Linked DNA regions of Tamandua tetradactyla. The protein of the gene in region 2 purifies or fractionates together with the protein of the main gene of each other region. This does not show direct contact. Links are inferred from orthologs where the notes say so. Each region holds a gene or a part of one and is shown on either strand. Other genes may lie near its edges. The genes, in order: FOXG1, TLE1 and HES1.

What was found.
Region 1: the proteins of TLE1 (region 2) and FOXG1 purify together in Homo sapiens (affinity purification with western blotting; 3 studies listed by BioGRID and IntAct, with this or other methods). This does not show direct contact. The link is inferred for Tamandua tetradactyla from reciprocal best matches to the Homo sapiens genes TLE1 and FOXG1.
Region 3: the proteins of TLE1 (region 2) and HES1 purify together in Homo sapiens (affinity purification with western blotting; 4 studies listed by BioGRID and IntAct, with this or other methods). This does not show direct contact. The link is inferred for Tamandua tetradactyla from reciprocal best matches to the Homo sapiens genes TLE1 and HES1.

Annotation. Positions count from the first base shown.
Region 1 is NC_135340.1:25,907,896-25,915,298, forward strand, and holds FOXG1 (forkhead box protein G1), read right to left. Parts: upstream 2,976-7,403; 5' UTR 2,925-2,975; coding exon 1,446-2,924; 3' UTR 501-1,445; downstream 1-500. UniProt on the Homo sapiens protein: Transcription repression factor which plays an important role in the establishment of the regional subdivision of the developing brain and in the development of the telencephalon.
Region 2 is NC_135328.1:112,657,817-112,665,243, reverse strand, and holds the start of TLE1 (transducin-like enhancer protein 1), read left to right. Parts: upstream 1-4,357; 5' UTR 4,358-5,691; coding exon 5,692-5,715; intron 5,716-6,492; coding exon 6,493-6,593; intron 6,594-7,427. UniProt on the Homo sapiens protein: Transcriptional corepressor that binds to a number of transcription factors. Inhibits NF-kappa-B-regulated gene expression. Inhibits the transcriptional activation mediated by FOXA2, and by CTNNB1 and TCF family members in Wnt signaling.
Region 3 is NC_135336.1:13,984,038-13,991,202, forward strand, and holds HES1 (transcription factor HES-1), read left to right. Parts: upstream 1-4,090; 5' UTR 4,091-4,356; coding exon 4,357-4,464; intron 4,465-4,606; coding exon 4,607-4,702; intron 4,703-4,947; coding exon 4,948-5,035; intron 5,036-5,713; coding exon 5,714-6,264; 3' UTR 6,265-6,713; downstream 6,714-7,165. UniProt on the Homo sapiens protein: Transcriptional repressor of genes that require a bHLH protein for their transcription. May act as a negative regulator of myogenesis by inhibiting the functions of MYOD1 and ASH1.

The DNA.
Region 1 (7,403 bases), on a different chromosome or scaffold from region 2:
AGCGCAAATTGTACCTGAACTGAAGGGCTCTCTGTGCCTATATATATTACATATGTGTGCATTATATTCACTTCTATCTAACCATATACATATATATTTATTTATAATTTGCCAAGTGCTATACAAGATACCTGAAACAAAATATATAAAAAGTAAGCATTCTATGAACTGATTTGAAAATTGAACACAAGGTAAATCGCTAAGCACATAAAATTAAATTATATCTTTTTGCTGTATATCTACAGAAACTTAAAAGATACCAGCTGAAAAGCCTATACTATTTTTCAAGCTAGCATTTATCAAATAGTCTGCTCCTTATAAAGTTTGATTCCACAGTGGGAAAAAAAAAATACTCCTTCCACTTAAAAATCTCAGTTTGAACCAAAGGAGCAGTTTCAATATTAGGTTGGCTGAAAGAGCCTTTGAATTCCCTATAACTTTAATGGGCTTTTAAAAATTAGCTCTATTTAACAAAAGAGACAAAAGTATCAAGATATATATGAATTTAGCCTATTTTTTATTTCTGTGTGTTCATAGTAAACATTTTTGTAAGTGACAAACACGGGCATATGACCACAGTATCACAATCAAGAAATTTTAAGACAACATTAACAATCACTCAAATTTATGCGGCATCTGCGCAACACAGGTTACATATTTGCAAGGTTTACCTATAAGTACAATAGGTATTAACATTTCACTACATTTAGAAAAAATAAAAGTGACCTGTTAGTGACCACATACATCAAAATATACACAACACAAACTGAAGGCAATCATTAATTTTGTCCCCTTCCAATTCATTTGAATGGGCAGTGCTGCCAACTGAAACAACTTTCCTTTGTTGCTGTTGATTTTTGTTTGTTTGTTTGTTTGTTTGTTAATACTTAGAATACCAAGTGCATTTTCTAGAACCCAATCTTTGGTCTAAAAGTAAACAAAAGAAAAAAACAGCTCTTTAAAGAAAAGGACAAAACAATAAATGGCCAAAATAATCTCTTGGGCACCTTTACTATGAATGCTTCTTAAATACAAATTACAGTTTAACATTGTAAAACTCTCCCCATAATTTAGGTTGTTCTCAAGGTCTGGTCCACCATCTAGATCCATGATAACTTATAATACTGCACACATGGAAATCTGGCGGCTCTCAGAGATAGACTCCTCAGGTTTGAATGAAATGGCAAAGCAGTCACTATTTAGATACACGTTCTACTATAATTTTGACTTCCGAACCTTATATTCTACAATGTATTCTCCTCACATTGCACCTCGCTGACACTCCACACCTTGTTAGAGTAATAAACAACCCTAAAGACTGAACAAACGTACAGAAATGGGGGCGGGGGGGGCGCTTAATAAAAAATACCTGGACTTATTTTTTAATTATCATTTACAATGCAAATGTGTGTAAAACGTTCACTTACAGTCTGGTCCCAGGGATGTTAATGTATTAAAGGGTTGGAAGAAGAACCCTGATTTTGATGTGTGAAATAATCAGACAGTCCTCCCGACAGTCCCGTCGTGAAACTTGGCAAAGAGGGTCTTAAAGACTCACAGGGCAGGGTCGAGGGGGCCTGCGGCGACGTGGAGGACGACGCCGCCCGGGCGCTCATGGACGTGCTGCTCTGCGAAGTCATTGACGGGTGCGGGACGTGGGGGAAAAAGTAACTGGTCTGGCCCGCGAGCAGATTGACCGAGCAGGGGTTGAGGGAGTAGGTCCCGGAGCAGGGCACCGACAGGCCGCAGGGCACCGAGGCGGCGAGCGCGGCGGCCGTGAGGTGGTGCGTGGCGTACGGGATCTCCCCGTTGACCAACCGGTCCACGCTCAGGCCGTTGGTCGTGGAGAAGGAGTGGTTGTTGCCCAGCGAGTTCTGAGTCAACACGGAGCTGTAGGGCATGGGGTGGCTGGGGTAGGCCGACGTGGTGCCGTTGTAACTCAAAGTGCTGCTGGCGCGGGGGTGGTGCAGGGACAGGAAAGGCGACATGGGCCAGTAGAGGGAGCCGGCGCGGTCCATGAAGGTGAGGCCGGTGGAGGTGAGGCGCGCCCCGCGCTTGAAGGCCAGCTTGGCCCGCGAGGTGGTGGAGCGGCGCCGCAGCTTGCCCGTCGTGCCGCCGATGAACACGTCGTCGCTCGACGGGTCCAGCATCCAGTAGTTGCCCTTGCCCGGGTCGTCGTAGTGGCGCGGCACCTTCACGAAGCACTTGTTGAGGGACAGGTTGTGGCGGATGGAGTTCTGCCAGCCCTGCTTGTTCTCGCGGTAGTAGGGGAAGTTCTTCATGATGAACTCGTAGATGCCGTTGAGCGTGAGCCGCTTCTCGGGGCTCTGCCGGATGGCCATCATGATGAGCGCGTTGTAGCTGAACGGCGGCTTCTCGTACTTGCCGTTCTTCTTCTCGCCCTCCTTGCCCCCCTCCCCGTCCTTGCCGCCCTCGCCCGCCCCCTTCTTCTCCTCCCCCCCGGCCGCGGCGCCCTTCTCCTTCTCGTCCGGCCCGACGGGCGCCAGCTCCCCGGGCCCGCCGCCCGGCTCGCCCTTGCCGCCCAGTCCGTCCGCTTTGGCCCCGTCCAGGGCGGCGGCGGGCGGCGGCGGCGGCGGCGGGAGCAGCAGCTGCTGGGGGCCCTTGTCGTCGTCGGCGGCGGCGGTCGGGGCGCCCCGCGCCTGGGGGGGCTGCGGCGCCGGGGGCGGCGGCGGCGGCGGTGGGGGCTGCTGCTGCGGCGGCGGCGGCGGTTGCGGGGCGGGCGGCGGCGGGTGGTGGTGATGGTGGTGGTGGTGGTGGTGGTGGTGCGGGGGGTGGTGGCTGTTGTGGTGGCCGTGACTCGCGTGGTGGTTGTCGTTCTGGACTGCCTCGGGCACCAGGCTGTTGATGCTGAACGAGGACTTGGGAATCATTTTCACCTCTTTCCTATCTCCCATGTCCAGCATCACCCAGTCGTCGGGGGGAAACGGCGGCGGCGGCGGCGGCGGCACTGGAGCCGGAGCGGGGCAGCGGCGCGGCGGGCGGCGGCGACCGGTGGGTGCCGAGCGGGGCTCGGGCGGCGCGGGCTGCGCGGGCGGCGGCGGCGGCACTGAGCGCTCCGGCAGCAGCGCAGTTGGACCGCAGGCTCGGGCGCTGGCAAGTCATGTAGCAAAAGCAGCAACCACCCCTCAGGAATTAGAAAAAAAAAAGGGGGGAAAGAAAAAGAGAAAGAAAGAGAAAAAAAGAAACAACCACCGCCCCGGGGGTGAAGCTCCCTCGCTCCCAACTCTACTTCATGGTCTCCCCCCCACCCCCCGGTTCCCCCCCCCCCCTGCTGCTTCCTCCTCCTCCTCCTCTCGCAGCAGCAGTCACAGCAGCAGCAGCAGCAGCCCAAAGGGGGGGAGAGCCGGGCGGCGGGCGGGCGCGTCCCGGAGCGGCCGCGACAAGGCTGGGGAAGACAGCGATCGAGGCGGCTATAGCCACAATTAATTTTCCGAGCTACAGGCGCACACTAGGGCTGTAAAAAAATTTTTGGTTTAACCTTTCCTATCACTGGGCCAATCAGAACCGGCGGCGTGCGGGAGCGTCTCTCCTGCGGTCGGCCAATCGGCGTGCCTGGGCCCTCCCCCCACCTCCGCCCCGCCCGCCGGCTCCCGCCCCCTCGGGCGCTCGCCTCCCCCTCTCCGCGGGCCTCGAGCCCCGCGGCCGCGCCGAACTGCGCAGGGATACGCCGGCGGGAGCACGCTGCGCCGCGGCTCCACGGCGCGGCCCTTTTCTGTGCCCCCTCCACCCCCTCCACCCCGCTGGCTCTGCTCAACCGAAATCCCCCTCTTAGGGCAAAGAGCTCACGTTTCCGGCTTCCTTGTCATTGCACTGGGTCATTTTCGTTATAAGCGTCAATACTGTTTCCTTATTGATTAAAGTTCGCGTCCAGTTTTATTTTTAAAAGCGGGGGTGGGGGGAAGGCAGAGAGTGGGAGCTCCGGGGAAGGATGCAAGAAAAGGGCAGGAAATGGAGGAAGAAGCGATGAGAAACTCTCTGGAGTCGGCTCTGCTGGCCCGGGTCTGGCATGTTTGAGCCCGTAGGGAAATTGTGCCCTTGTAGGTAACATTCGAACGAGGCTTTTGATGGTTGGGAAGGGAAGGCCCACCCCTGGCGTGGGGGGGGGGTCCTCTACCTTGGGGGAGGAGAGTCTAGGAGAGGTTTGGGAACCGTGGGATGAGGAGGAGGAAGCGGGCAGGCGAGTGCGGGGCCAAGCAAGGGTTACTTACTCGGTTCCTGCGGCCCGGCAGCGGCCAACTCGGGGCTCGGGCGCCTCGGGAAAGCCAGGCCTGTGGCTCCCGGCGCGGCGGCAGCGGCGGCGACGGCGGGCGGGGGCGGCTCAGTGGTGGGCGTCTCTGATGGTCTCCCGAAATGAGAGGTTCCCAGAGAGAAAACAAAACCAAACAATCTCGAAATAAACCAGGTAACACATGTTATATATGTGCCTCTATTCCTTTCCTTTCTCTCCTGCTCCACATCGTCGTTCACGCGCGGGGTGACTCGGTGTCTTTTCTTCTCGCCGCTCCAGCTTCTCTTCAGCTTCTAATTCGTATTGGAAGCGAGGTGGCCGCGAGCCATTACCCTGGAAATGTTTTCATTTTGCTCGTTGACATTAGACGGAAAATAAGGGTAGGCGTCTCTTTCTTTCTTTCTTTCTTTCTTTTTTAAATTTTCTTATGTTCAGCCCCCTTTTTTCTTTCCGTTTCTCAAATGCCTTTATTTTTCGCGGGCCTCAATCCTGAAGCAACAGCATCCTGAAACCAGCCCCTTCCCACCCTGGATGCTGCTGGAAGGCTCCTTGGAGCCATGGGAACGTGGGTCTCACAATCTTGGCCTTTGGGGCTGGGAAGGGTTGGTTGAAGGCTGAAATGAGTGGGGAAATTGCGAATCGGGGGGCTTTAAATGGATCCCGTGGCCAGGGGCAGGGCTAAGGCCCAGCATTTCCCAGGGATTGGAATTTGGTGGGGAGTGCACCGATCAAAGACTGTTTCATCCCACATGGGCAGGAAACACACCACGTTTTACAGAGGATGTAGCCTGGGAGGTGAGGGAGGTGGATAAAAGAAAAACACCTTTTCCCTCCTCCCCAAGGTAAATAATCATAAAACACAAGCGTTTCTTCACTCTGATAAACCCTCCGTTAAATTATCTGGCTGGCTTGGTAGTTAAGAAAACGGAGGAAGAAAGATGGGTGTTGCGTGCGATGTTGAAAATTAAAGTTCAATTCTAATATAAGGACTGCAGATCATTATTCCAGTGCCCCCCACCCCACCCCACTTCCATACACCTGAAATCTTGAGAGAGAGAGAGAAAAGAATTACAATTGGCTAGTGACTTTTTAATATGTATTTCAGGGACGCCACAAAGAGCTTTGGATATTAGACCAGATTTAAACAACCTTCCACTGTATGCTTTTTTTTTTCTGTCCACACATTTCCTTACTTTAAAACGCACTATTTACATATGGAAAAATTCAAGGGTTCCTGCAATCAGCTTAGATAGTGACATGGCCCCCCAAACATTGACTCTTAAACTCGGGATTTCTCACCGAGCCCGGGGAGCTAGTGGGCTTGGCCACCCGGTCTGGAGAGATCTGTGGCTCTTCCTCTTCCAGCTCAGCTCCACTCCTCCCACACTTCTCCCCTCCTCAGGCCTGTTCTTTCTACTTTTCCTAAACTCTCTTTCCTCCCTCCTCCCCTCTTCCTCCCTTCTTTCCCCTCCCTCCCTCCACCCTTTCCCCTCCCTCCATCACTCTCCCTCTCCCACCTACTCCTCCCCATTTCTCCCCCCCCCACCCCCCTTCTCACCATCACTTATAATGGCACGCAGGGCTCCCTCTGAGGTGGACGGCCCGGTACGTTTTCGTAGTCGGTCTAGCGTGAAATGATTCGGTGTAACCGGATTCTTGGGAAAGGACAGGTTACGTAAACATTTACTGATGTGGAGTAACTATACTATTTGTACTCTGATATGCAGGAAGGAAAGTGTTGATTAACACAGAAGAAAAAAAAGCGAAATTAGCTGATTGCATGCTCATAAGTGCAAGCTGTCATTGAACTGCTTTTAAAATAGACACAGCTGGGTGTTTGTGTTGAAAAATTTCTTGTGTTTTTGCTAATACTGAAATAAGCATGATTTTGTATACCAAACATTTTCAGATCATTAAAATTTGTAATCTGTGCTGGTTTTAAACACAAAGAAAAGAAACAGCATCATTTCGATGTAAAATTTGCTGATATTATATTAACTCAATCAGGTCTGTACAAATTGTGCATTGTGCCTCCTAAAATCTGTTTGATCAATTTAATACACAAAGTGCCAAACGTGGGTATTGTTTGTTAACATTGGACATTTTATTCAAATCCGAGCTCTGCAGCAAACTGGAGCAGCATTCCTTGAATACAACGCCAGCTCTGCCTGATGAATTTTTAATGTTTTAAGGTGTTTCTTAGGTCAAAGCTGAGAGGGCATTGTTTTGTAAGCCAGTATAAAAAATTTTAGCAGGTGAAAATAAGTTTTTCTTCTGTTTACTTTCAAACAGCAAAAACTGGGGTTTGCTAATGAGAGTTGTAATAATCTGCTTTTATGTGCCAGGAACTTATATTGACTGTGAAACATTTTCATGCAAACCAAGAATGTGCTATATTATTTTAAGGATTGCAAGGATACAGGACACTCAAAACAGGGTATCTGTGTAAGAGCAAATGGTATATAGTTTAATATAATCATATTAGAAATCTATTCTCCCTGATGACAAAGGTCAATTGCCATGTTCAGGGAAGTGGGTTTGAATACCTCCTATTAATTTAAATGCCCTTTATGGTGAGATAGGGCGATATATATATAGTGGGTAGGGTTGTTCAACAAAAGATGCACTGTTTACTCAGCGGCCCACGTTTGTCTCCCCAATGGCTTCTTTTTAGAAATGCTACTTGCTGAAATAGAGGGGGGAGGGGTTCTGGGACTGAGTATTGTGTGAGTTGAAAGTCCTTGGACAGGGCTTTGTACATCCTACCAGCCAATTTGGGGTGCAAATTGGATTTGAAGCCCTGCCCACAACCACATAGGGCCTCTTCCCAAAGCACATGAATCCCTAACTCTGTATTTCTAGCCATACTCAGTCTGTGATTACCTTTAGAAGATATCTAGTTATCTCACATCTGAAACAAATTCTATATTATTTATTTATGTATTGCTTATGATCAGTTTCATCTCTGTCTCTCTCTCTCACACACACACATCTATAAATGTGCTGTTAGTGAATAAAAGCAGAAGTCAGAGCAAATGTAATTTTCTGGTATGATGTAAACTTTTCTTCTTCTCTCCTCCCAAAAGAGGACAGGCCTTGTAAAAAGTGAGCAATTCCAGCGGAAGAACTGATTGGGAAATGGATTAGATTATTC
Region 2 (7,427 bases):
GCTGATTTCTCATTGGAAACCATGGAGGCAAGAAGGCAGTGGGATGGCATATTTAGAGTACTAACAACAAAAAATTGCCACCTAAGAATTCTATATCTGGCGAAAGTGTCTTTTTAAAATGCAGGAGAGATTAAGACATTCCCTGTAAACAAAAGCTGAGGGAGTTGTCAGCACTAGACCAGAATTACAAGAGATGCTCAAGAGAGCTCTGGAGGTTGAAAGGAAAGGACAATAGACAATAGGTCACAGCTGCTGAAGCGATAAAGCTCACCAGGGAGGGTAACAACCGGGTAAAGATAAATGCCAGTGCTCTTGTATTTTTGGTTGGTAATTCCACTTTTTACTTGCTAAAGGATTTAAAAGGCAAAGGTAAAAATGTAATGAGATATCAGTGGTTTTGGACTCATAATATATAAACATGTAATTTGTGAGAAGAATTACATAAAGGTGGGGGACGGTATATACTATGGCATCGAAGCAAATGAGATTGTTATAGATTTAGGATGTTAAATTTTGTGGTGAGTACAAAAAAAAATCAGAGAATATGTAAACAGAGAGACAGAAATTAGAGTGCAAGTGGCCAGGGGTGGAGGATAGAGGGATTGGAGATTTAAAGTATAACGGGTATAGGGATTCTGTTTTGGGAGACAGGAAAGTTTTAACACAGGAAGGTGGTGAAGGTACCACAATACTGCAAACGTGATTAATCTCATTGAATGATATGTATGGGAGGGGTTGGGATGGGAAATTTTATGTTGCATATATGTCTCCACAATTAAAAAAAAAAAAAAAGACAGATCAACTAAAGACACAATGACAAATGCAATACACGATCCTGGATGGAATCAAACAAGCAAAGAGAAAAAACTCATAGGATATTTTCAGGACATATGAAAAAATTACAATATAGAGTCTAAGCTTTAAATCAGTGTTAATTTCTTGAACATGATAACTGCACTCAAGGTGGTTATGTAAGTGAATATCCTTGTTTTAAGGAAATGTACATGGCAGTATTAAGTGGTAAGGGAACATGATGTATACAAACCTATACTCAAGAGTTCATAAAATGGATTGGACAGAAAGATGCAGAGAGGGGACAGAGGAGGGAAAAACAATGACGTGGCAAATGTGACAAAATGTTCAAATTGGTGGACCTGAGTTCTCTGTATGAGGTTTATATTATTTTTGTAACTGTCCTGTACGTTTGAAAGTATTTCAAATAAGTTTTAAAAAAAAATTGCCGGCAATCTTTCTGTTTCTTTTGCAGAGGATAAACAGGGTACTGCTTTTACTTCAGGGACAATTTCCTATGGAAGCAGCACACTTAATATTATTTCTTGTAAAAACATCATCAACATACGATTATGTTGAAGGTAAAGAAGATTATGGTTAACGTACTTCAAATAGATGACTAAAATTATAGATTTCATGAGTAGGACTGTTTTCTTTTAAACAGGCTGTAGGCAATCTGCACATATATGATTTATTTAAAACAGAAGATTAAGGCTACTTGATTGTTTAAACACCATCATTTATAATGCAGTTTGATGAGAGTTTTGTAGTATAATTATTACAGCATGGCAATCAGGGAGAAAATATGACCTTGAAAAGGGCAGAGCTTTCTCCCTCTCTCAAGGAGGATGCTCTGTATGAGACAGAAGCCATCGAAATGAAAAAATATTCATGCAATTAAAGGCTTTCCAATTTTAAATTCAGTATATTCATTCTTTTCTCCACATACTACATTATAAGGAAATCAGAAGGTAGTAAGGAAGCACTGGTCAAAAGAGAAATCCTCAATTTTTACCAAGGCCAAACTGGGAAAGGTGGCAACCACATACGTGTTCTGTGAAGAGCTGTATGACAGAATATTTAAAGTCAGTGTGTTAAAACTGATTTTGAACGGGGTGGGTGGGAAGAGAAGTAGCAACACTTTTGCTACTGCCCCAAAACATGTCATTTTAATGTCTCTGCTTATACTTAATTGCTAGTGTTTACCAGTAAGTTAAGATACCCATCAGGCAAAGCTGGGTAAGTAAGCCAGGGAGATGTCTCAGACTGCTATAGCTGTCCCAGAGTCCACAGGCATTTCTGTGGCACAAAAGAACTTTCTACCCAGTCCTCAGATTATGAGATGAAGTCATCACAGACTGGCCCATGTGGCCCAGCCAGAAAATAGATGAAGATTTCAAAGAACACAGGTTGCCCAAGGACAAAGCTTAGTTCCACATGGATCATATAATTTTAAAAAGTCCTGTATGTGGAGCAAACCTGCCGCTGTCATCACCAAATTAACCACGGAAAGAGAGGCAGTGCTTCTCTTTCATTCTCCAGGTTAGCAAAAGAATAATATAGTCTCCTTCCCAAATTTAATGAGAGCACTGCAAAGTATACTGCCAAATTTAAGAATTTACTACTGCCTTGCATATTGAATAAAACTACTCTATTTTTCACTTGTAATTGATAATTGGGATTGATGCAATTATAGAGAAATCAATGTCATACATATTTTAAAACAATTGCAACTGTGAACTGTATTACTTAAAATGATTCTTTCAATATTTCAGGAAGAAGTTTTCTGTAAAAGCAAATCTTTGAATGAAATACATTTATGTATGTGCTTTCCCATATGTCTCTTAAAAGTAAAATAACATGGGGCTGGCCACGGTAGCTCAGCAGGCAGAGTTGTTGCCTCCCACACCGGAGACCCGGGTTCGATTCCCGATGCCTGCCCATACAAAAAATCAAAGTAAAATAATGGGGATGTAGAAGTTATTGATACCAAAAATATGTTTACTAGGTTCCAATGTTAAGAGAAATGCTTGTCATGTAGGTCCCAATACACACAGTTTCCACGGGTCACATGGAAATAGCTTAACCGTACTGTTCAAAGTATACATTTTCTATGTGATCTATTTAGAGAGACAAAAACTGGGGACTCTTTATTTTACTTACACATTGAGTCCCGTTTATTTAAAAATCTCAAAAATCCCTTTTAACTCAAGTTTCGCTGCGTAAGAATTTTAGCCTCGTCCTTTACCCACGTCTTCCCCTCTGGCTCCGAACACAGATCAGCCCTGGGGTACCATCCAAATTATGGGGGTGGGGATGGAGGTGGGTGGGACAGGTTTTTCAGGTCTCAATGCTGGTTTATTTCATTGTCTCCCTTTGTTCCCAGGAATTGGAAACAGACTCGTGGTCATGTGGCTGCGAGACTCCTAAAACTACGATTTTTTTTCCCCCTCATCACAGCAAAGCCAGGACTTTGAAGACAAGGACCCGAGATTTCGCGCCCCGGGCAGAGTATCGCATCTGCGCTTTGGTACACTCCTGCCTTACCTAGGCATACCTTTGAGAATCCCTCCCGCCAAACGAAGGCAGGCCGACCCTTTGGCAAAGCGATTTGATACCCGCCAATAAAAAACGAATCCTACCACCTTGGGCAAAACGTGGTGGGCACCATGGTGATGTCTTAAGGGCTGGCCTACGCACGCAATGCGTTGACCATTAGGCAGTTTCCACCAGGGCACAGTCCATTCCTTCTCATGCGTTGCTGAAAAGGTAGTCTAGGAAAAAAACAAACCTCAGAGAAATTTTTGAATATGACCTCACATTCCAAAAGGGTAGCATCAAACAAGAGGCTAGCACCGAAAGACGCATTTTAACTCAAAACTACCAAAGCAGCACCCCAATAAGCAACGCGACTAGTTCTTGAGTTACTTTCGTCAAGATCTGAGGATTTTCATAAAAGAAAAAGTGAACAAGTGGCAGCATTTTTGCAAACTGAACAAGTGGCAGCATTTTTGCAAACTCGAACCCCAGTTCGGCGGCAGCAAGCTCGCGAGTCCCCCAGCCCCCCCCCCCCCACCCCGCTCGCGCGCTAAGGCGCGCTCCCTAGGCAGCCCCACGTTACTTTGATTGACAGCTGAGCCCCGCTGCTCTCCTTCCCACCGACCTTCCCATCCTCCGTGCCAATCTCTGAGTCTCGCCGCTTTTCATTGGCTGGCTTCGGCGTCCGAGGCTCCTCCAGGAACACTTCCTCACCAAGCCTGAGAGGACGCGGCTGGGTGGAGGAGGGGTGGTGGCAGGGGAGACAAGGGAGACGGCGGAGATGGAAGCAAGTGGGATGGGAGGGATGAAGGAAGGGACAGCCTGGCTGGCCTTGCGCTGCCATAGGCTCTGGGGGAGCCGCGCGTCAGTACCCCACGTTGGGCACGGCGCGCGCGATTGGCTGACGCGGGCCTTTCTGCTGCCCGAGCCCCGCCCGAGCCCACGTCCCCCGTCGGCTCTGCGCTCGCGACCCCGCCCGTACGGGGCTGGGCGGGGCCGGCTCTGGTTAGCTCCGGAGTGTGAAACCGCGTGTTAATGTAACCGGCGCGAGAGGCGCGGGCGGCGGCGGCGGGACCGGCGGCTGCAGGAACAGCAGTGGCGGATACCCCGTGCCTCGCGCCCCCCAGGCGACCGACTGCGCCACCTCCACCCCCTAAGAAGCCAGGCGAGATCTCCGCCACCAGCCGGGACCTCCGCCACCAGCCCGGACCTCCGCCGACCGGTGGTGACCAAAGCTCCACTGGCCACCGGTGCCGCGACTACTCCGGACTCGCCCGCGGAGTTTTTCCGCCGGGGAGGAGGCTGGGCGGTGGAGTGCATGCCTGCTATTCTCCCCATTCTCTCGTGGATGTCGTCCCTGGGGTCGTGAGAGAACTTTGCAGCGGGCTGGAGCGCCCTTTGCGGAGAGGCAAACGAAGGGAAGGGGAGGACCGAGGAAAGGGCTTCGAAGAAGGGTCCGGAGTGGCTAGTCCGGCCCTTCGGGGCGATCTCGCGCGGGGCGCAGTGCCCTGATGCTTCGTGGGCCCGAGGAGCCGTGGGTGGTTGCGGGGCTGCACTCCACGGAATAGCCCCGTCGGGCCAGGAGGGTTTGTGCAACCGCGGAGGACACCGAGTGCTGGTTGCACGGGGCGTGCCGAGCTGCCTCCCGGCGCGCCCTCCGCACTTTCTCCGCCTCGGCGTCATCCCGTGTTTCCCAGCCCGGGCTGAGGCTGCGCATCGCCGGGCGCGGAGCCTCCGCGGCGATCCGATCCTAGCTGTCCGCGGTCCCCTGGGAGCCCGCGAACGCCCGGCCAAAGGCCCTATAGTTGCCGGGTTTGTGTGGGGTTAACCGGAGGCGCCGCTCCACCTGCACCTCCTCACCCGCCGCCGCCGCTGCGGGGAAAATCCGGAGAGAGGCGGACTGGAGAAAAGCAAAGAAAAGCAGCCCGCCTGGATTTGTTAGCTCGGGACCGGCGCTGCGCACGCTGATCGCCGAGGGGAGCGCGGCGGGAGTCAGTACGCCCTCACCTCCCCGCCCCGGCGGCCGAGGCCCGCCGGTTGGAGCGCAGCCCCCGCGCCCTCTCCCAGGGCGCTGGCGTCGTCGCGCAATTTCTTGGAACAGCTGAGCCCTGGGCGCCCCACGATGTGGCCCTGAGCGCGGGAGCCCGCAGCGGCGGGAGTAGGAGTAACCGCGGGCGCGGAGCGGCGGTGCGCCCCTCTGAGCGCGCCTGCGTGCGTGGTCATCGCCCCCCACCCTTCCGCCCCCTGCGCGCCCCGCTTCTGCTTGGCTTCCTGGCTTAATTTTCCTCGGTGGGATTAAAGTTGGAAATTGAGCGAAGAATTGAGTTGCCCAGGAACAGAGCCGCGGCCTCCGCCAGAGCTATGTTCCCGCAGAGCCGGCACCCGGTGAGGAGCGGCCCAGTGTGTGTGTGTGTGGGGGGGGTCAGGGTGCTGTTTCCCGAGCAGTAGGGAGACGGGCGGCTGCCAGGTCTCCTCACCCCCAGGGGTGCAAAACTGGGGAGGTCCAGAGCCCTGGTTCCCCGGGGTGCAGAGTGGCCTGAAACTCCGGATCCCCCCCCCCTTTTCTTTCGGCCCCCTCCTATTTGACGTCTAGACTGGGTGGAAGGGGGCGCCGGGGGAGGCTAGGGTTTCTGTCCTGGCAGGCACATTCTCCCCAGTCCCCGAGCCCGGGGGGGGCGCCCCCCCTTTTGTTTCTTGTCTCGCTTATTTGCATGTCAATGCGGCCCCCGTTCCGGCGCTCCTGGAGGTGGCCCCGGCGACTCTGGGAACTGAGAACGTAAAGGGAGTTGTTTTTCTTCTCCGGCCCCGGGAGTCATTATCGCCCCTGAGGGGGAGGGGGAAGGCGACGACAACAATCTGGTCTGGTCCTACCCGGTCTTCTGGGAGCTGCCCCTCCCTCCGGCCGGGTGATGTGGGCACACTTAATTACGACCCGCCCTGGAAGCGGTTCCTAGCCTCTTTAGAAGCTGGGGACTGGGGGAGTGTCCTTCTCTCCCCTTCCCAGAGTGAAACGGAGAGGCGAGTTCGGGGCTTCAGTATCCGCCTCTTCTAACTTTATTTTTTGTTTATGTCCCACCCACTTCTCCCTTTTCTGACTTACTGCTTTATGTGTACATCCACCCGCACCCCCAATTCTCGGTGCCCCTCGCTTGTCGCCCCCAGACGCCGCACCAGGCTGCAGGCCAGCCCTTCAAGTTCACTATCCCGGAGTCCCTGGACAGGATCAAGGAAGAATTCCAGTTCCTACAGGCGCAGTATCACAGGTGCGTGTCGGCGGTGGCGGGAGAGTGGTTGTCAGGGCATTGGTCTCTGGTGGCCGCATGCCCCTCTGCCCAGCCGGATGGCGGCGGCTGTACTTAGTACTTGCGTCCAGGCGGTGGCGTGTGGAGTTGCAGTTAAGACCTGTCATTTCAAGTTCCCCTCTTTCTTGGCTCTTCCCGGGCCTCCTCTTCTTCTCTTGTCTCCTCCTCCTCCCATTGTTTCCCTTTTACCCTTTTGCTGCTGTTCCAAAGAATCCTTTTTCGTGTATTTGGGAGTTGCATAAGAACCGTCAATATTTGCACTTAACTTATTTATTTTGCAACAGGCTAGGCCTGAAACATTGATTCAGTCGATGCCTCAGCCCTGGAGTGTGGGTTCCTGGAGGCAAAACCAGTGTTGAAATCACTGTTTGCCATACTTGGGAATTAGGTTGTCTGAGGCAAAGTCCATAGTGGAAGGCTGGCATTTGGCTCTACCCATCATTAGTGTAGTGTGTAGGAGAAAGCACACCTGCTTTGATATCATTCTGGGTAGTTTAGGATAAAGCATGTAATTGGAGTCAATTTTATATACATCTCAGCCTTAGTTTCTTCATCTAAGGACACCTACCTCCCAATTCAAAGGATTTATAAATGAAAATTATTTGCATGGTTCCTGGCCCATTGTAGATTTTCCAGAAATGTTGCTCCTGTTGAAATTAGATGAGGCTAAGTGGTTTGGGCATCAATTTTCTTATTTTTCTGGGGTTTTCTTGTTTTTGACCTATTGTCTACTTGCAGGTGGTATCTCTAGAGCTTGAAGCATACCTGCACACACTGTGCTTACCCAACAGAGAG
Region 3 (7,165 bases), on a different chromosome or scaffold from region 2:
CTGCTTTAGGCACTGCAGTGAGACCCTAACTGGACTATTTCAATAAACATTCTCCACACACCTTCAGGGTGCCCAGTCCTGAGGGGATGACAGAGCCAGAGACATTAAGTCTCCTAGACTAGGGGGGTCGGAGTAACATGCCCAGATAGTAATTAAGGCCCACTGAGGAGCAGATGCTAGTCAGTGTCACAGCAGAGTTTAGGAAGACACTTGCTCTGACATATTTGAGGGGAACCTGGAAAGTGTTAACATGCTTCTCTGGGAGGGGTTTAGTGCCTTGGAATAATCTGGGTCAGTGTAATTATGTAGTTTTTTAAAAAGTCAGACAGCAAGTACAAGCATTTTAAGAATTTTCCAAGTGTTTTGGGGGCAAGGCAGAAATGAAGGTAACTTCATAGGCTCTTCATCTTTCACCAAGATTTCAAACACACAGGGAAACCCCCCCTTTTTTTTCAAAAGCAACAGACAATTTTCTGTCATCACCTCTTTTCCATCTGTTTAAAATAAGAACTACCTATTGGCCCTGCTTGCAAGTCAACAGAGGAGGCATTGTTCAACATTTCTTCCGAACAAGATAGGGCATAGCCCATTTTGTACTGTTAAGAGAAAACGAAAAATCCCGCAGAGAGCAGCCCAAGGGGCAAGAATGAGTAAATGAAGCCTGCAATGAGGTAAAGGTTTGGCGGCAGACTTCAGGGCTCTCCTGGCAGTAAAAATGAGACTTGGAAGGTAAATATAGTCAGAGCCACAATGACTCCTTATTTAGACTCCAGATGGTGGTGGAACAGGTAACATTGCTTTAAAGGGTAGGCAGGTTTTTGCTGATCACTGGACAGTGCATAGTCAATACTCAGGTGAGCCAGTTCCAGGCAGGTGCTTCCTGGGTCAGTCTACACCTGCCACTTAGGAATCTACTTAACTGGAAGGAACCTCCTCCCCAAACTCTGTCACCAAACCCTCCATTCCACCCTCCATACTTCTGCCAGGGCCATCTTCCTAGATGAGATCCTTGACATCCCTTCTCTGCTCGAAAACATTCTACAGCTCTCCACTATCTAAAGATAAAGCCCAAAGTCTTTTATCAACACATTTAAGGGTCTTATGACATGGCCTTCTCCAGGTGTTTCTTGTAGTCCTGCCTGTCACAGACCCTGGGCTCCAGATCTAGTTCCCTGAATAAGGACCTCAAGTTCCAGAGTCTGGGCCTTTAATGCCACAAGGTACTTTCACACTTCCTCAGCGCCATGACTCCTCCCTACATTTCCAACACCCCAATTCTACCTATTTTTCAAAGTACAAAGCGAGGCCACCTCCTCCAGGAAGTTTCCCAAGATACCCAACTTATAAACAGTTTAATTTCTCTGAACCTCCATAGCATTTTACCTCTTGTTTGGATACATTAACTTTCTCTTGAACCTAGGACCTACTAGAGGAACATATTGGGAAATCAAGAGCTGTCAGCTGCACAGAGTATATGTACCTCTAGGCTGCGGGCTTCCTGAGGTCAATAACTCTCCCATCCACCCCTGTAACCCATAGGGGAGAACTGCAATAGTGTGGTTTAGTGTTTCTTTGGGGCCCTCCTAGTCTTTCCTTTAAGCTCCAAAGGAAAGGAGTAATAGACAATCAGAACCACCAATCAGAAAATCAGGAACTTTCAGTCGGCCTCCGCAGTTGACTGTAAACTCCTTGCAGGCTGCCTCTGTATCTCATCGTGGTAATCCCAGGGTTTAACAGTGTCTGGCACAGAACGTGCGCTCCACGATGAAAGAAAGGTCACGCAGTCAGGAACTGATGAATCTTATCCGGGACGTGATCTGGTGAAATCATAACATTCTCAGTGGGGAGCTCGGAGGAAAGAAGGAATGAAGTGTGTTAAGAATGTGTGCCAGGCTACCGGCGGCCTTCTCCGAGGGCCGCCGGGACGGAGGAAGGGGTGGGGGGAAGCCCAGGGCGACTTCAAACAGGACACTCGGCACCCGGGGTGCTCTGAACCGCCAGAACAGCGCGTCGAGCTCAAGGGTGGGGGCGCGGGGACCGGCGACCGGGGCAGACTGGCGGGCGGGTGGTGGCGGCCAGCCGGCCCAGGCAGTGCGAGCCGCCGGCTAGAAGCGGCAAATCCCCCTGGGAGGCCGCCGCCAGCGCCCTGGCGCTCCCGACCCGGCGCCCGCCACGTGGCACCCGGCGGCGGCGGCTCCTCCCGGCGCACGGCCCGGCCAGCCGGCAGCACGCAGCCGCCCGCGCCGCCCGCCTCCTCCCGGCCGCCCGCCGGCGGCCTCCGGGCGCAGCGAGGGGGAGTCACCGGCCGCCCTGGACCGGGAGAAGGGGCGGGCGGCGCGAAGCCGCTTTAACCGCAGCCGCCGAGCGGAGGCAGGAGGCTGACCCGGCTGCTTCCTAAGTGCGGTCAGGCATCTTGTGACCGCGGCGGGCGCCGAGAGTCCCGCGGAGGAGTGGGGGTGGGGGCCCAGGGCAAGAAGCAAACAAGGAAGCCCCCCACCCCCATCCCCGGGCTGCTGCAAGCGAGGATGCCCGGCGTGTTCAAACCCCCAAGCCCGAAATCGGGGGTGGAGGATGGGGGAGGTTTTGGAACAAATCCCTGCTCTCCTCTCTGGGGCGTGCGCTCCCCGCCCGGAAGGGCTGACCTTGGCCGGGGAGGGTTCAGGGGAAAGCGCCGGGACTGGGCTCCCAGCCCGCCGCCCCCTCGGATTCCTGGATCGGCGGGGGCCGGAGGAGGGGGCCCCCGGACACACACGCACACGCACACACACACACACACACACACACACACACACACCCCACAGGCAGCGCGCGCCAATGAGCCCGGGCCGGGCGCGGGGGGCGGGGTTTTCCCAGGCTCCAGCACAGCAGCTGCTATTTACCTTCTTGGCTTCTCCCGGGGACCAGGAACCAGCCCCCGCGCTCCGCTGCCCGCCGCCACCCCCCCCCCCCCCCGCCTCCCTGCCCCCGGGGCGCGCGCGCATACACACTCACACACGCACGCACACACACATCCTCCCGGTCCGGCCGCAGCCGCGGCGGCAATAAAACATCCTGGCACGTGCTCCAGCTCCAGGCGCGCCCTCGCCGGCCGGCTGATGTCAAACTGCATCTCGGCTGGTGCAGCTCTTAAAGGGGCCGCGCGCACCGGCGCCTAGACGACCCCGGCTGCCCGCCGCCTTGAGAAGGAAGGAAGAGGCTTCTGGGACGCCCGCCACCTCGACGTGCTGCAGAACGGAGAGCCTACAGGAGGAAAAAGTGGCGAGGGTGCTTCCATGTCCTAAAGGCATTGCCAGCAAAGTCCCCCTTGTTCGTCTTTTATTTGAAATTCCATTTCCCTTCCTTTTTGGAAAATTTTCAGATTGTTTCCTGGGGAAGCGCGGGTTCCAAGGCCCCAACTCCAGAAGAGGAATGGGGAAAGAAGGGGGATGGCATTCAAGAACTACTTTGCTCCGATAAGCTTGCAAATGTAAAAATGCAAGGTGGAAGGTATTTTTTCTTTTTTTTGCATGCAAATGCCAGCTTCACGCTGGCTCGACTTTCACCCACCCACCCTTCCCTAAAGAGGTATAGATTATGACCGGGAAATTCCTTAGATATTTCAGAAACTAACACCTTTGCACGCGTCCTTCCCCCCCCCCCCGCCCCGCTTTTCTTTTCACTGCTGCTAATACAATCTTTTATTTTTACCCTTCTAAACCTGTTAATATATATATATATATATATATTTCTCAAGCTTTTTATCAGTTAAAGAGATTCTAATAGGCATTAGGAAAGAGAATATAGAGCAAAGATCCTAGCCCCAAAAGTAATAAACTACGTTAGACCAAAACCAGGGCAGAAAATTCCTCTCTACAGCAAAGCTTGGCTGGGAGAGTAACGAAGGGTTAAAATGCTTTTGATTGACGTTGTAGCCTCTGGTGCCCCGGGCTCAGGCGCGCGCCATTGGCCACCAGACCTTGCGCCTGGCGGCCAATGGGGGGGCGCGGTCCACGAGCGGTGCCGCGTGTCTCCTCCTCCCATTGGCTGAAAGTTACTGTGGGAAAGAAAGTTTGGGAAGTTTCACACGAGCCGTTCGCGTGCAGTCCCAGATATATATAGAGGCCGCCAGGGCCGAGGGATCACACTGGATCCGGAGCTGGTGCTGATAACAGCGGAATCCCCAGTCTACCTCTCTCCTTGGTCCTGGAATAACGCTACCGAAAACCAAGTAGCCATAAAATATTACAATAAACTCTCAGAACTTGCTCAGTAATTTTGTGTAAGTCTCAAATAAAAGGGACATAAACAAAAAAATTTTTTGAGTGTGAAGGACTCCAAAAATATAATTCTCTAGGGATTAAAAAAAAAGAAAGGAAAATGCCAGCTGACATAATGGAGAAAAATTCCTCGTCCCCGGTGGCTGCCACCCCAGCCAGTGTCAACACGACACCGGATAAACCAAAGACAGCATCTGAGCACAGAAAGGTAAGGGCGGTGCTTGTGTGTCTCTATAGCGCCCAAGAAATTAAGTTGGGGTTGGGGGCGCCTTTCTCGCTTAAAATTCAGGGGTGAAATGGCAGATCTTCTGGGAATTCAGGGCCCTTACTGATTTTTTTTATTTCTGCAGTCATCAAAGCCTATCATGGAGAAAAGACGAAGAGCAAGAATAAATGAAAGTCTGAGCCAGCTGAAGACACTGATTTTGGATGCTCTTAAGAAAGATGTAAGTGGGGGATACTGCTTTTATTCATTTAATAAAACATTTCATAATAAATACGATTTCTCTGCAGCTAGGGGTGAAACCCCTCGCAGACTGGATACTGCCAGTCAGCGCCGCGTTCTCCGAGGCGGGAGGGTCGGGCCTCTCGCGGGGATACCGGGATATTGGCGTGGCGGCTGGAGGGAGGGTCTCCAACCCTTGGAGACGGATGGCAGGGTCTCACTTTCTGCTTTGCCTTCTCGCTGCAGAGCTCGCGGCATTCCAAGCTGGAGAAGGCGGACATTCTGGAAATGACAGTGAAGCACCTCCGGAACCTGCAGCGGGCGCAGATGACGGGTAAGGGCTGCTCGCTGCGTCCCCCTCTGCGGGCGTCCCTCTCGCCCTGCGGTGATTTCTTCCAGACTTCCGCTCGCGGTTGTGAGAGGCATTCAGCTACATTTTACTGCCTTGGCTCACGCTCGCGTTCCCACGGTCTGGGGTTTATTTATAGCCACAACTCCAAGTTGTTACTGTTCCGGAAAGGGAGGGAAAGAGGTTGTAGCAGCGAGGGTGGCGAGCGGCTTGGATGTGGGGGAAGCGGGTGGGGGCGGAGGACGGTAGAAAGAGGGAGGATTTAGGACCGTGGCGGGTTTGAGCTTCTTTAGAGCCTCAGCGGTCATCTGGTTTAGCACTTCCCCTCCTCCAGTTTACTGAAGGGTAAAATAAAGCTCGAATGGTGGAGGTGGGCATTGTCCAAGGTCACAACGCGCGCGGGGTGGGGGTGGGGAGCTCAGTTCTGGGGCTCGGATCGGTTTAAGTGGAGCGTCGGGGAGTGGAGGGGAGGGAGAGTCTCCACTTCGATTGCCTCGCGCCTGTGTGGAGAGGTCGCTGGTTTTGCTAAATCCACCCCAGCTGGAGGCAGTTCCGTGGTCCTGTGGTCAGGGAGGCGCGCCGCGGGGACCTCCCCGGGTGGGAGATGTTGGCCCCGGGACCAGGGCCGTTTGGTGACCCCGTCTGTCTCCTTCTGGCCCGCAGCCGCGCTGAGCACCGACCCGAGCGTGCTGGGGAAGTACCGCGCCGGCTTCAGCGAGTGCATGAACGAGGTGACCCGCTTCCTGTCCACGTGCGAGGGCGTTAACACCGAGGTGCGCACCCGGCTGCTCGGCCACCTGGCCAACTGCATGACCCAGATCAATGCCATGACCTACTCTGGGCAGCCGCACCCCGCCTTGCAGGCGCCGCCGCCGCCCCCTCCAGGGCCGGGGGGGGCCCCGCACGCGCCGTTCGCGCCGCCGCCGCCGCTCGTCCCCATCCCCGGGGGCGCGGCGCCCCCTCCCGGCGGCGCGCCCTGCAAGCTGGGCAGCTCGGCTAGCGAGGCGGCCAAGGTGTTTGGCGGCTTCCAGGTGGTGCCGGCTCCTGACGGCCAGTTTGCCTTTCTCATCCCCAACGGGGCCTTCGCCCACAGCGGCCCGGTCATCCCTGTCTACACCAGCAACAGCGGGACATCCGTGGGCCCCAACGCTGTGTCGCCTTCCAGCGGCCCCTCGCTCACGGCGGACTCCATGTGGAGGCCGTGGCGGAACTGAGGGGCTTAAGCCACCTCTCCGCTAAACTCCCCACCAACCTCTCTTCCCTCTGGACTCGAAACCCGAACTTGGACTCTGGGAGAGAAGAGCTCTTTTGTCATTAAGTGGTTACTTTGTTGATTTTAATTTCTAAAAAGTTACTTTTTTTGTAGAGAGCTGTATTAAGTGACTGACCATGCACTATATTTGTATATATTTTATATGTTCATATTGGATTGCGCCTTTGTATTATAAAAGTTCAAATGACATTTCGTTTTTTACACGAGATTTCTTTTTTATGTGATGCCAAAGATGTTTGAAAATGCTTTTAAAGTGTCTTCCTTTTGGGAAGTTTATTTGAGAAAATATAATAAAAAAGTGAAGGCTTTTATGTCTTAGAACTGATTATTTCAGAATATGTAAAAAGAGGTTCTTGGTGGGATTTGAATTTTATGATTTTTTTTCATGTAATCGGTTCTTTTGTTATGAAAAGAGCCATATTTTTAAAAATCCATCCAACCTCTTAGCAACCAGGTGCTCCAGGAGCTGAGAGAGGCAATTCAATTTAATTTACAAGAACCATTCTGAGAGGGCTTCCCTGGACAATTTGTGGTCAGTCTCAGCCAGGATTCAAACCTAAGTTTGGCTAAGTCATTCACCTTGTTCTCATAGCAGCTCATTCTGAGGAAATGTGGACCAGAACTGAGTCCAGGAAGCTAATGGATGTAATCCAGTTGTCCTCTACCGCAATAGTAAGGGTGACTCCTGCAATAATATTACAATTCTGGGGTAGCTCACCAACATCCAAAGGTGAAACACAACCGCTGCAGCTTGCTGCCTTCAGAGGTCAGGGTCTTCATTAATTAATTAATCCTTAGGTGCAGCCAGACATTCCCTTGCACCAGCATTCAAAACTTTGAAA